2 linked regions of the Callithrix jacchus genome follow. The protein of the gene in region 2 interacts with the protein of the main gene of each other region in a biochemical or structural test. Links are inferred from orthologs where the notes say so. Each region holds a gene or a part of one and is shown on either strand. Other genes may lie near its edges.

What was found.
Region 1: the proteins of HSP90AA1 (region 2) and AHR form a complex in vitro, tested with the Homo sapiens proteins (2 studies listed by BioGRID). The link is inferred for Callithrix jacchus from reciprocal best matches to the Homo sapiens genes HSP90AA1 and AHR.

Annotation. Positions count from the first base shown.
Region 1 is NC_133512.1:41,143,186-41,147,453, reverse strand, and holds the start of AHR (aryl hydrocarbon receptor), read left to right. Parts: upstream 1-1,468; 5' UTR 1,469-2,091; coding exon 2,092-2,156; intron 2,157-4,268. UniProt on the Homo sapiens protein: Ligand-activated transcription factor that enables cells to adapt to changing conditions by sensing compounds from the environment, diet, microbiome and cellular metabolism, and which plays important roles in development, immunity and cancer.
Region 2 is NC_133509.1:137,003,789-137,007,843, forward strand, and holds the start of HSP90AA1 (heat shock protein HSP 90-alpha), read right to left. Parts: upstream 2,801-4,055; 5' UTR 2,739-2,800; intron 2,220-2,738; coding exon 2,058-2,219; intron 1,970-2,057; coding exon 1,603-1,969; intron 1,321-1,602; coding exon 1,187-1,320; intron 593-1,186; coding exon 272-592; intron 155-271; coding exon 1-154. UniProt on the Homo sapiens protein: Molecular chaperone that promotes the maturation, structural maintenance and proper regulation of specific target proteins involved for instance in cell cycle control and signal transduction.

The DNA.
Region 1 (4,268 bases), on a different chromosome or scaffold from region 2:
CCCTACACAGTTTGTCTCCACCTGCTCTCAGCTGCTCAGTATCGCCCATTTAAAAAAACAGAACTGGCCGGGCAAGGTGTCTGACGCCTGTAATCCCAGCACTTTGGTAGGCGGAGGCAGGTGGATCACGAGATACACGAGGTCAAGATATCAAGACCATCATGACCAACATGGTGAAACCCTGTCTCTACTAATAATAAAAATTTGCTGGGTGTGGTTGTGTGCACCTGTAGTCCCAGCTACTCGGGAGGCTGAGGCAGGAGAATTGCTCCAGCCTGGGAGGCTGAAGTTGCATTGAACCTATATCACGCTACTGCACTCCAGTCTGGTGAAAGAGTGACACTGTCTAAAAAAAAAAAAAAAAACTGGCTGGGCGCGGTGGCTCACGCCTGTAATCCTAGCACTTTGGGAGGCCGAGGCGAGTGAATCACGAGTTCAACAGATCGAGACCATCCTGGTCAACATGGTGAAACCCCGTCTCTACTAAAAAAAACAAAAAATTAGCTGGGCATGGTGGCGCGTGCCTGTAATCCCAGCTACTCAGGAGGCTGAGGCAGGAGTATTGCCTGAACCCAGGAGGCGGAGGTTGCGGTGAGCCGAGATCGCGCCATTGCACTCCAGCCTGGGTAACAAGAGCAAAACTCCGTCTCAAAAAAAAAAAAGAAAGAAAGAAACTAAACCAAAATAAAATTAGAAAACCCTCATTTAATTCCTCATTCCCATAACCTACCATCTGATGTCTCTCTCATCCACAGCTAAACATGGAAAAAGAAATGTCTGCTTGACTATGCCACTTCTTCATCTCCGGCTCAATCCTGTACCCACTTCAATGTTATTTGCAGGCCCATCACCCCACCAACACAGCATTCACGGAAGTCATCAGTGAGTACCTATTTAGAAGACAAAATGACATTTTCAGTTCTCACCTAATTTGAATTTCTCAAAAGTATTCAATACTATTAACTACTCCCAATATTTTTCCATATTGTCCTCCATGACACAACACATAATAGTCCCCTTATTTTCTATTTTCCTGTCTATTGTAGAGACTTCCCGCATACACCACCCCAAAAAAGGTCAATGAAACGCCTAGCCTTCAAGTCTCAACTAAAATCTGGCTTCTAACGCCTCCCCAACTAGGAAAATATATAGTCCCATTGGTTGTCTACCAGTTTCTTGTAATTCTTAGCCATAAGTTAGCTGATCCACCGTCCCTCAGACAGGTGAAGTTAAGCTCAGTATTTGTCATATCTTGATATACAGTCTAGTTAAAAAGAGTTTGCATATGTAAGAAGATGGCTACCGGGGGGCGTTGTTACGTCCTACGTCATCACGTGCCGGGATGAGGGTGGGGCCCTCAAGGAAGATGGAATGGAATCCAGTGGGCGGGGGCAAGAGGACGGGGCGGGGCTACGCAGGATCTGGGCGGGGCGGGGCCGGTGAGGGGTCGGGGGCGCTTCTGCTATTCAGCCGGTGCGCGCGGCGGCGGGAGGCAGTGGCGGGTTAGTCCCCTTGACGCTCTATTCCGAGCGTGCCTTGGACCGCCAGCTCAGACCAGAGACAGCCGTGTAACTGAACGGAAGCTGGAGGCAGCGGGGACTAGTGCCCGGCGCTGGAGCTCTGCAGGCGGGAAGCACCCAGCATTTGGGAAGTCCCGGGAGCAGTACGGCGGCGCCTCCTTCGCCCAAGGGGCCGCGGCGGCGGTCACGGGGCGCGGCGCCACCGTGCGCGACCCAGGCCAGGATTCTAAATAGCCCAGGCTCCTCCTCCTCCCGGGCCGCCTCACCTGCGGGCATTGCCGCGCCGCCTCTGCCGGTGTAGACCGCACCTGCGCCGCTTCGCTCGCGGGTCTCCGCCCCTCGCCACCCCTCACGGCGCCAGGCCCGGGCAGCTCACCTGGACTGGCGCGGAGTGCGGGAGCCGGGTCGCTGAAGCGCGGCGCTCACGCCGCTGTCCGGAGAGGACGCAGGTGGAGCGGGCAAGACTTCGCGGAACCCGGCGCCGGCCTCCGCAGTTGTCCCAGCAGACACCGAGTCCCGGGGACCCGGACGCCCGTGCCCGAGGAGGAGCCGCCGCCGCCGGCTGGGCACCATGAACACCAGCAGCGCCAACATCACCTATGCCAGTCGCAAGCGGCGGAAGCCGGTGCAGAAAACGTGAGTGTCCGGAGCGCGTCCTCATCGCGGGGGCTGGGCGCTCTGGCACGCGGGTGCGGGAGGCAGCCCCACCCCGCCCCCAAATCCCTGCGATCCTGGGGATTAGGTTCTTTCCCGGCACTGCCTGTGGAATTGTGGTTTGGAGGCCGGTCGGGAGACCGAGGACTTGGATTCTCCAGTTTTCAATGATTGCATTTTAAAAAGTGCCCTCCCACCCATCCTCGGCCCCCGCGCCAGTGCACACGCACCCTCTCACATCTGCAACTTTTTCTCTCTTCTTTGGTCCTAATTTGTTGACAGCTCTCATCTGCCTTGTGCTGGTGGATTACTTAGTATAAACCTGTCGAAATCTCCTTCCACTTCTAATATCCGCATGGGTTAAGTTAGAGGACGGTCTTAGTTCTTCTTCTTGGTAGAGTTTGGTAGGACAAGATGTTTTAAAGAGCAAAACACGTGGCGAATTTTTGCGAAGGGGCAGTGACTCTAAAGGTACTTTTTGGTCCCCACCAAATGGCTTTCTATTGCGCTCTTATTTGGCAGCGATTTTGTAGCGCTCATCGTGATTGTATTGGTAAAGTGGATAGAAGTGGTAGCAGGTGGGAGTGGATGCAATGGACAGGATACGGTGGAGGATTTGTATTCCTCAGACACCTTTTTGGGAAACTTGCTTATCACTTTTGGGGTGGTTTTAGGATCTGTAAAATAAAAGATTTAGAACTATATTTGAGAGAGGTTTTCATTCTTAACATCTACCTCTAACTCTTTTTCGCTTCGAAGTTTTGTTACTTCTAATAGAGTCAGTACAAACTTGCTTATGAGGTCGGTTGATTTTGGTGGGATATTTGTGTGAGATGGCAAATACTATAATTTTTTTTTTTTTTTTTCAGAGAAAAACTAGCCGTGCTTGAAATATTTCCTTTTGTGAGGTGGTTGTATTCCCGTGTTTATTCCAGTTTTTTTATTTCTAATTTTATCTGAGTTACTTTACATATTTTTCAAGTTTCCGTAAACAATTTTAGGACTCTTAAACGTCTTCTCAGACCAAATTAGAAGTGTGCATTTTCCTTAGATTTTACCTAACACTAATGGGAACCAGAGAAATAACAGTTTAAGATTTACGTGTAAAATCAATTATTGGTTTAAAGGTACATTCTAGAATTCAACTTCCTTTCAGAATTTCAGTTATCGTAGTTCTTCAGAACTACACATATAAATTGGCATTAAGAGGATAATTATAAATAGACTGATTAAAATTTGGAAGTTTTACAGTATAGTGTGTCTTAAGGGAATATTGTCAGACTAGCAGTTTTCTACCTTGGCAGTTTGAGACATTGGTTTATACTACTTTTAATTTTGTAGAATGGTTTCTTAAAGTATGTTTGTTTGAAGGACAATTTGACATTGTCCTTGATGGTTCAAGTTGGGAGGCATCCCAAATGTCTGTTCTATGTATTTATTAATACACTTAGCATCATGTATAATAGGTATATTAATGGGTTTTATGTGTATTGTCAGAAAACGGGAAGATCTCCCTGATGTGTTTTTAAAATACCGGGTTCCAGTTAGCGTATTATAAAAGGACTTGGATGGCTTTGAAAACAAAAACAAATGCCATAATTTTGTACAGTTTAACATTTATGGATTCTAATTTAGATGGTAATGTTTTAATATATTACATTTTTCTTTTGCATAAAATGTAACTTGTTAGATTATCTTAATATTTTAATACACTTTCTTAGTCTTTAATGTACTTGTTTTTAATAATTTCCTATAACAAAAGTATTTTCCTGATTCAGCCCACATTTTATTTTATTAGTGTAGATGTTTATCTGATCTCTGCTGAGCACTGTACATTGCTTCTAATCATAAAGATGCCTTAAATATCACCAGCTTGTTCTGTAAGAAAAGCCTAGTGCTGGCGTTTTCATTGTCAAATGAAAGTGTTTATATAAATTATTTTTACCTGAATAAATAATGGTTAATTTTATAATGCAGTTAATTAAAGTTTATTTTAGGAATGAAATCATTAAACCTGATATTAAATTTAGTATTAGTTTTAAAATTAAAGTACTAGTTTGTGGCCTAATTAGGCCCAAAATATGCCAACATTGG
Region 2 (4,055 bases):
GGATTAGTTCCTCACAGTTATCCATGATGAAAACTCTGCGTACATACAACTTGATGTTATTCTTTTTCTTTCTGTTTTCAAACAGGTCAAAAGGAGCACGTCGTGGGACAAATAGAAGGGCTCTGAATTCCAACTGTCCTTCAACTGAAAAATGCTGTAATAAAACATACACACTTAAGTACCAATGAACAATGCATTACAGAAGGTATCTGTGGTGGAAGAGGAAAGACAGTAACTAAGGACAAGCTCGAAGCACCACTCAGTCACTCACCTTCACTGCCAAGTGATCTTCCCAGTCATTGGTCAAGCTCTTGTAGAATTCTCCATACTCCTCATTAGTAATATCGTCAGGATTTCTGGTCCAGATGGGCTTTGTTTTGTTGAGTTCTTCTTGATCGATGTACTTTTCCTTAATCTTTTTCTTCTTCTTCTTGTCACCATCCTTTTTTTCTTCTTCTTCTTCATCAGAACCAACATCTTCAATTTCAGGTTTATCTTCAGACTCTTTCTCTTCTTTCTCTTTTTCTTCTTCTTTATCTTCCTTTTCTTCAGCCTCATCATCACTGACTTCTTTATCACGTTCCTTCTCCACCTTCAAAACAAGACGTGAAATCACATCACTGCTGCAACTGGTAACACTGAGCAACTATTTTCAACTAAGGCCAAAGCCTAGTCAGCCAAGCCAGAAGCAGCCAGGCAGCTTCTCATCAACGTATCTTATAGACTAAGGTAGTAGATAGAGCTTAGGTTCCCCAGGCTCCACACTAATAAATAACAACCCAAGTTCAACAGATCTAAGGAATAAGGATGTAGCTCAGTCACCCCAGTCATCTACAGAGAGTAACTCACTCTGCAATTTTTTTTTTTTTTTTTTTTAAAGACAGAGTTTCGCTTGTTACCCAGGCTGGAGTGCAATGGCGCGGATCTCGGCTCACCACAACCTCCACCTTCTTGGTTCAGGCAATTCTCCTGCCTCAGCCTCCCGAGTAGCTGGGCTTACAGGCACGCGCCACCATGCCCAGCTAATTTTTTGTATTTTTAGTAGAGACGGGGTTTCACCAAGTTGACCAGGATGGTCTCGATCTCTTGACCTCGTAATCCACCCACCTCAGCCTCCCAAAGTGCTAAGATTATAGGCGTGAGCCACTGTGCATGGCATTCACTCTGCAATTACATAGAAACTTACAAAAAGAGTAATGGGATAGCCAATAAACTGAGAATGTTTCTTCACAATCTCCTTTATTCTTCGTTCCTCCAAGTACTCAGTTTGGTCTTCCTTCAGGTGTAGGATAACCTTGGTTCCACGACCCATAGGTTCACCTGCAGAAGTAGGGAAAATTGACTCAATAATCCAATCAACTTAGCGTTCAAGCCATGCCTCACTCAGATCTATCAAGACTTGCCATTACTACAGATGAAAAGGTTCCCACAACAGGTCTAGGTGCCTTGCCACAAAGTAGTAAGCAAGTCATGCCATATTAAGTGCTCTAGCTTGTTCCTCAACGTTGGGCAAACACAACTTGCTGGAAGCCTCAGAGGTCCAAGGGCTGCAGCATCCCACCCTCCCGCCACTGACTAACCCGTGCATGCTCGGGCGCCTACCTGTGTCTGTCCTCACTGTGAATGACCCCCCTGCTGAGGACTCCCAGGCGTACTGCTCATCGTCGTTATGTTTGGTGATCACCGTTACTTTCTCAGCAACCAAATACGCAGAATAAAAACCAACACCAAACTGGCCAATCATAGAGATATCTGCACCAGCCTGCAAAGCTTCCATGAACGCTTTGGTCCCAGACTTGGCGATAGTACCAAGGTTATTGATCAAGTCAGCCTTGGTCATTCCAATTCCAGTATCCACAATAGTGAGGGTTCGATCTTGTTTGTTTGGTATGAGGTTAATATGCAGCTCTTTCCCAGAGTCCAATTTACTGGGATCCGTCAAGCTCTCATACCGGATTTTGTCCAATGCCTATCAACAAAAATTACAAATTAAGCATGCAGCCCCCACCCAACCCCACTGAAACCAAAACCCTACTCCGAGTTAACAAGCGACTTACATCCGAGGAATTTGAAATGAGCTCTCTCAGAAAGATCTCTTTGTTGGAATAGAAAGTATTGATGATCAGGGACATCAACTGGGCAATTTCTGCCTGAAAGGCGAACGTCTCCACCTCCTCCTCCTCCATCGGCTGGTCTTGGGTCTGGGTTTCCTCGGGCATCTGGAAGGACAGCGAGGCGGTCTCACACCCTGCAGGATGTCTACAGGGGCTACACGAAATGCCGTCGCGCCCTCCACGTTTTTAAAGCCCAACAGGAGATTTGCGGAGTTTTAAGTGAACCGAAAATAGAAGGGCGGCTGACAAAGGATGACCTCATTCCGCAGCGCGGTAACCGCCAGGAGCGTGCGCGCGCTTCCGGGAGGCGGCTGCGGGCCCGGGCCCAGTCCCCGCCGCGCTCCCCGCCGGCCAGCCCGCACCCTCCCGCATCCGCCCGCACCGCGGCCTCCTCGGCCCCTCGCCCCAGCCAGGCTGGTCGGGGGTTCTCCCGCAGCCCGGCCCTCTGTCCCGCTGCGGCTGAAGAGCCTCGGGGAGCCCGCGGCCGCCCGGCCCATTCCTGAAGCGGGTGCGGAGGCCTCCGGAGTGGGGAGCGCGGCCCCGGCGGATTCAGGGCCCCGGCCCAGCCCCCGCCGCCTCCGGCCCCCAATCCCCCTCCACCAGCCTCCCCCAACCGCCCCTTACCTTGGCTGAAGGACCGCACGGGCTCCGCAGCGCAGCTGAAGCACCAGGACGCCGAAGCAACTGGCGCGCCGCCCCCGCGCCTGCCTTATATAGCGACGGGCCCGCCCAGCGCGCGGCGCTTTTTCCAGAAGCCTCCCGAACCTTCCGGAAGAACCCTCCCCAACTGCCGCCGCGGCCGCGCGCCTGCGCCTGCGCCCTCGCCGCGGCCCGCCCCTCCCCCTGGCGCGCGCAGGCCCCGCGCGTGGCCCGGCCCGGGCAACCCTCCCTCAACAGCCGCTGCGCGCCCCCTGCACGCCCCCGCGCCAGCCTCAAGGCGCCTGCGCAGCTCGGAATTCTCGGGAAGGTCCGGGCGCCTTTCCCGGCCGCCCGCGCTCTCCGCCCTGCACCCCCACCCACCGGGCACGCCCGGACGTGGGGGCCTTTGTGAAATGCGCGAAAGTGAGGTGTAGTCGGTCACCCATGTGCGGGTGCCGTGAGAGCGCCCCGCCTCTTGACAACCCGGCTGAACGGAGCGCGGGGCCTGGGCGGGAGGCGCGCCTGAACGGAGGGTCGTGCGTGGACGGGAGCGCCCCGGGTCTCACGCGCCGGGTAGACTGCCGGAGTCGTGGTCCTGCTGCCGCAGAGCCTGGCGGCGCTGGGATCGCGGGGCTCTGCTCCCTGGGGGCGGGCGGGCCGTGGGCCACCTGCTGCTGCTCACTGAGGACGCTGTCCGGCTCGGGGGTGCTCGGCAGCGCCCCCTACCTTTGGGTTCCCAAAGCCGGGTCCTTTACACGTCAGGGTCCCTGAATTTGGGGAACAAGTTCATGCTCACCCAGCTGCACCAGGCATGATTTTAAAAAGCGCATCGTTTTGCCGATCGATTTATTTGAGGTCTCCAAGTGAAGTATCTAAGAATTCTTGGGTGATTAACTTGCCCTAAAAGCCAGGTTTTGGGTTTTTTGTTTGTATTTTTGGGACAGGCTCTCCCTCTGTCGCCCCGGCTGGGGTGCCATGGCGCAACCTCGGCTCACTCGCAACTTCGACCTCCCGGGCTCAGGTGATTCTCCTGCCTCAACCTCCCGAGTAGCTGGGACCACAGGCGCCGACGCGACGCCCGGCTATTTTTTGTATTTATTTGTAGACACGGGGTTTCACCATGTTACCCAGGCTGGAAGAGCCAGTTTGGACATGAGAATTTTACGATATTTTGGCCAGCGTCAGCTGTGAGAACCTTGGAGGCGTGGTGGTTCCTTAGACCTGGCTCAGGTCATCACCCTGGTTCCCCTGCCTGGCCCATGTCCTCCTCCTCTTTGTCTCTGGCGCCTCCCATGATGGGGC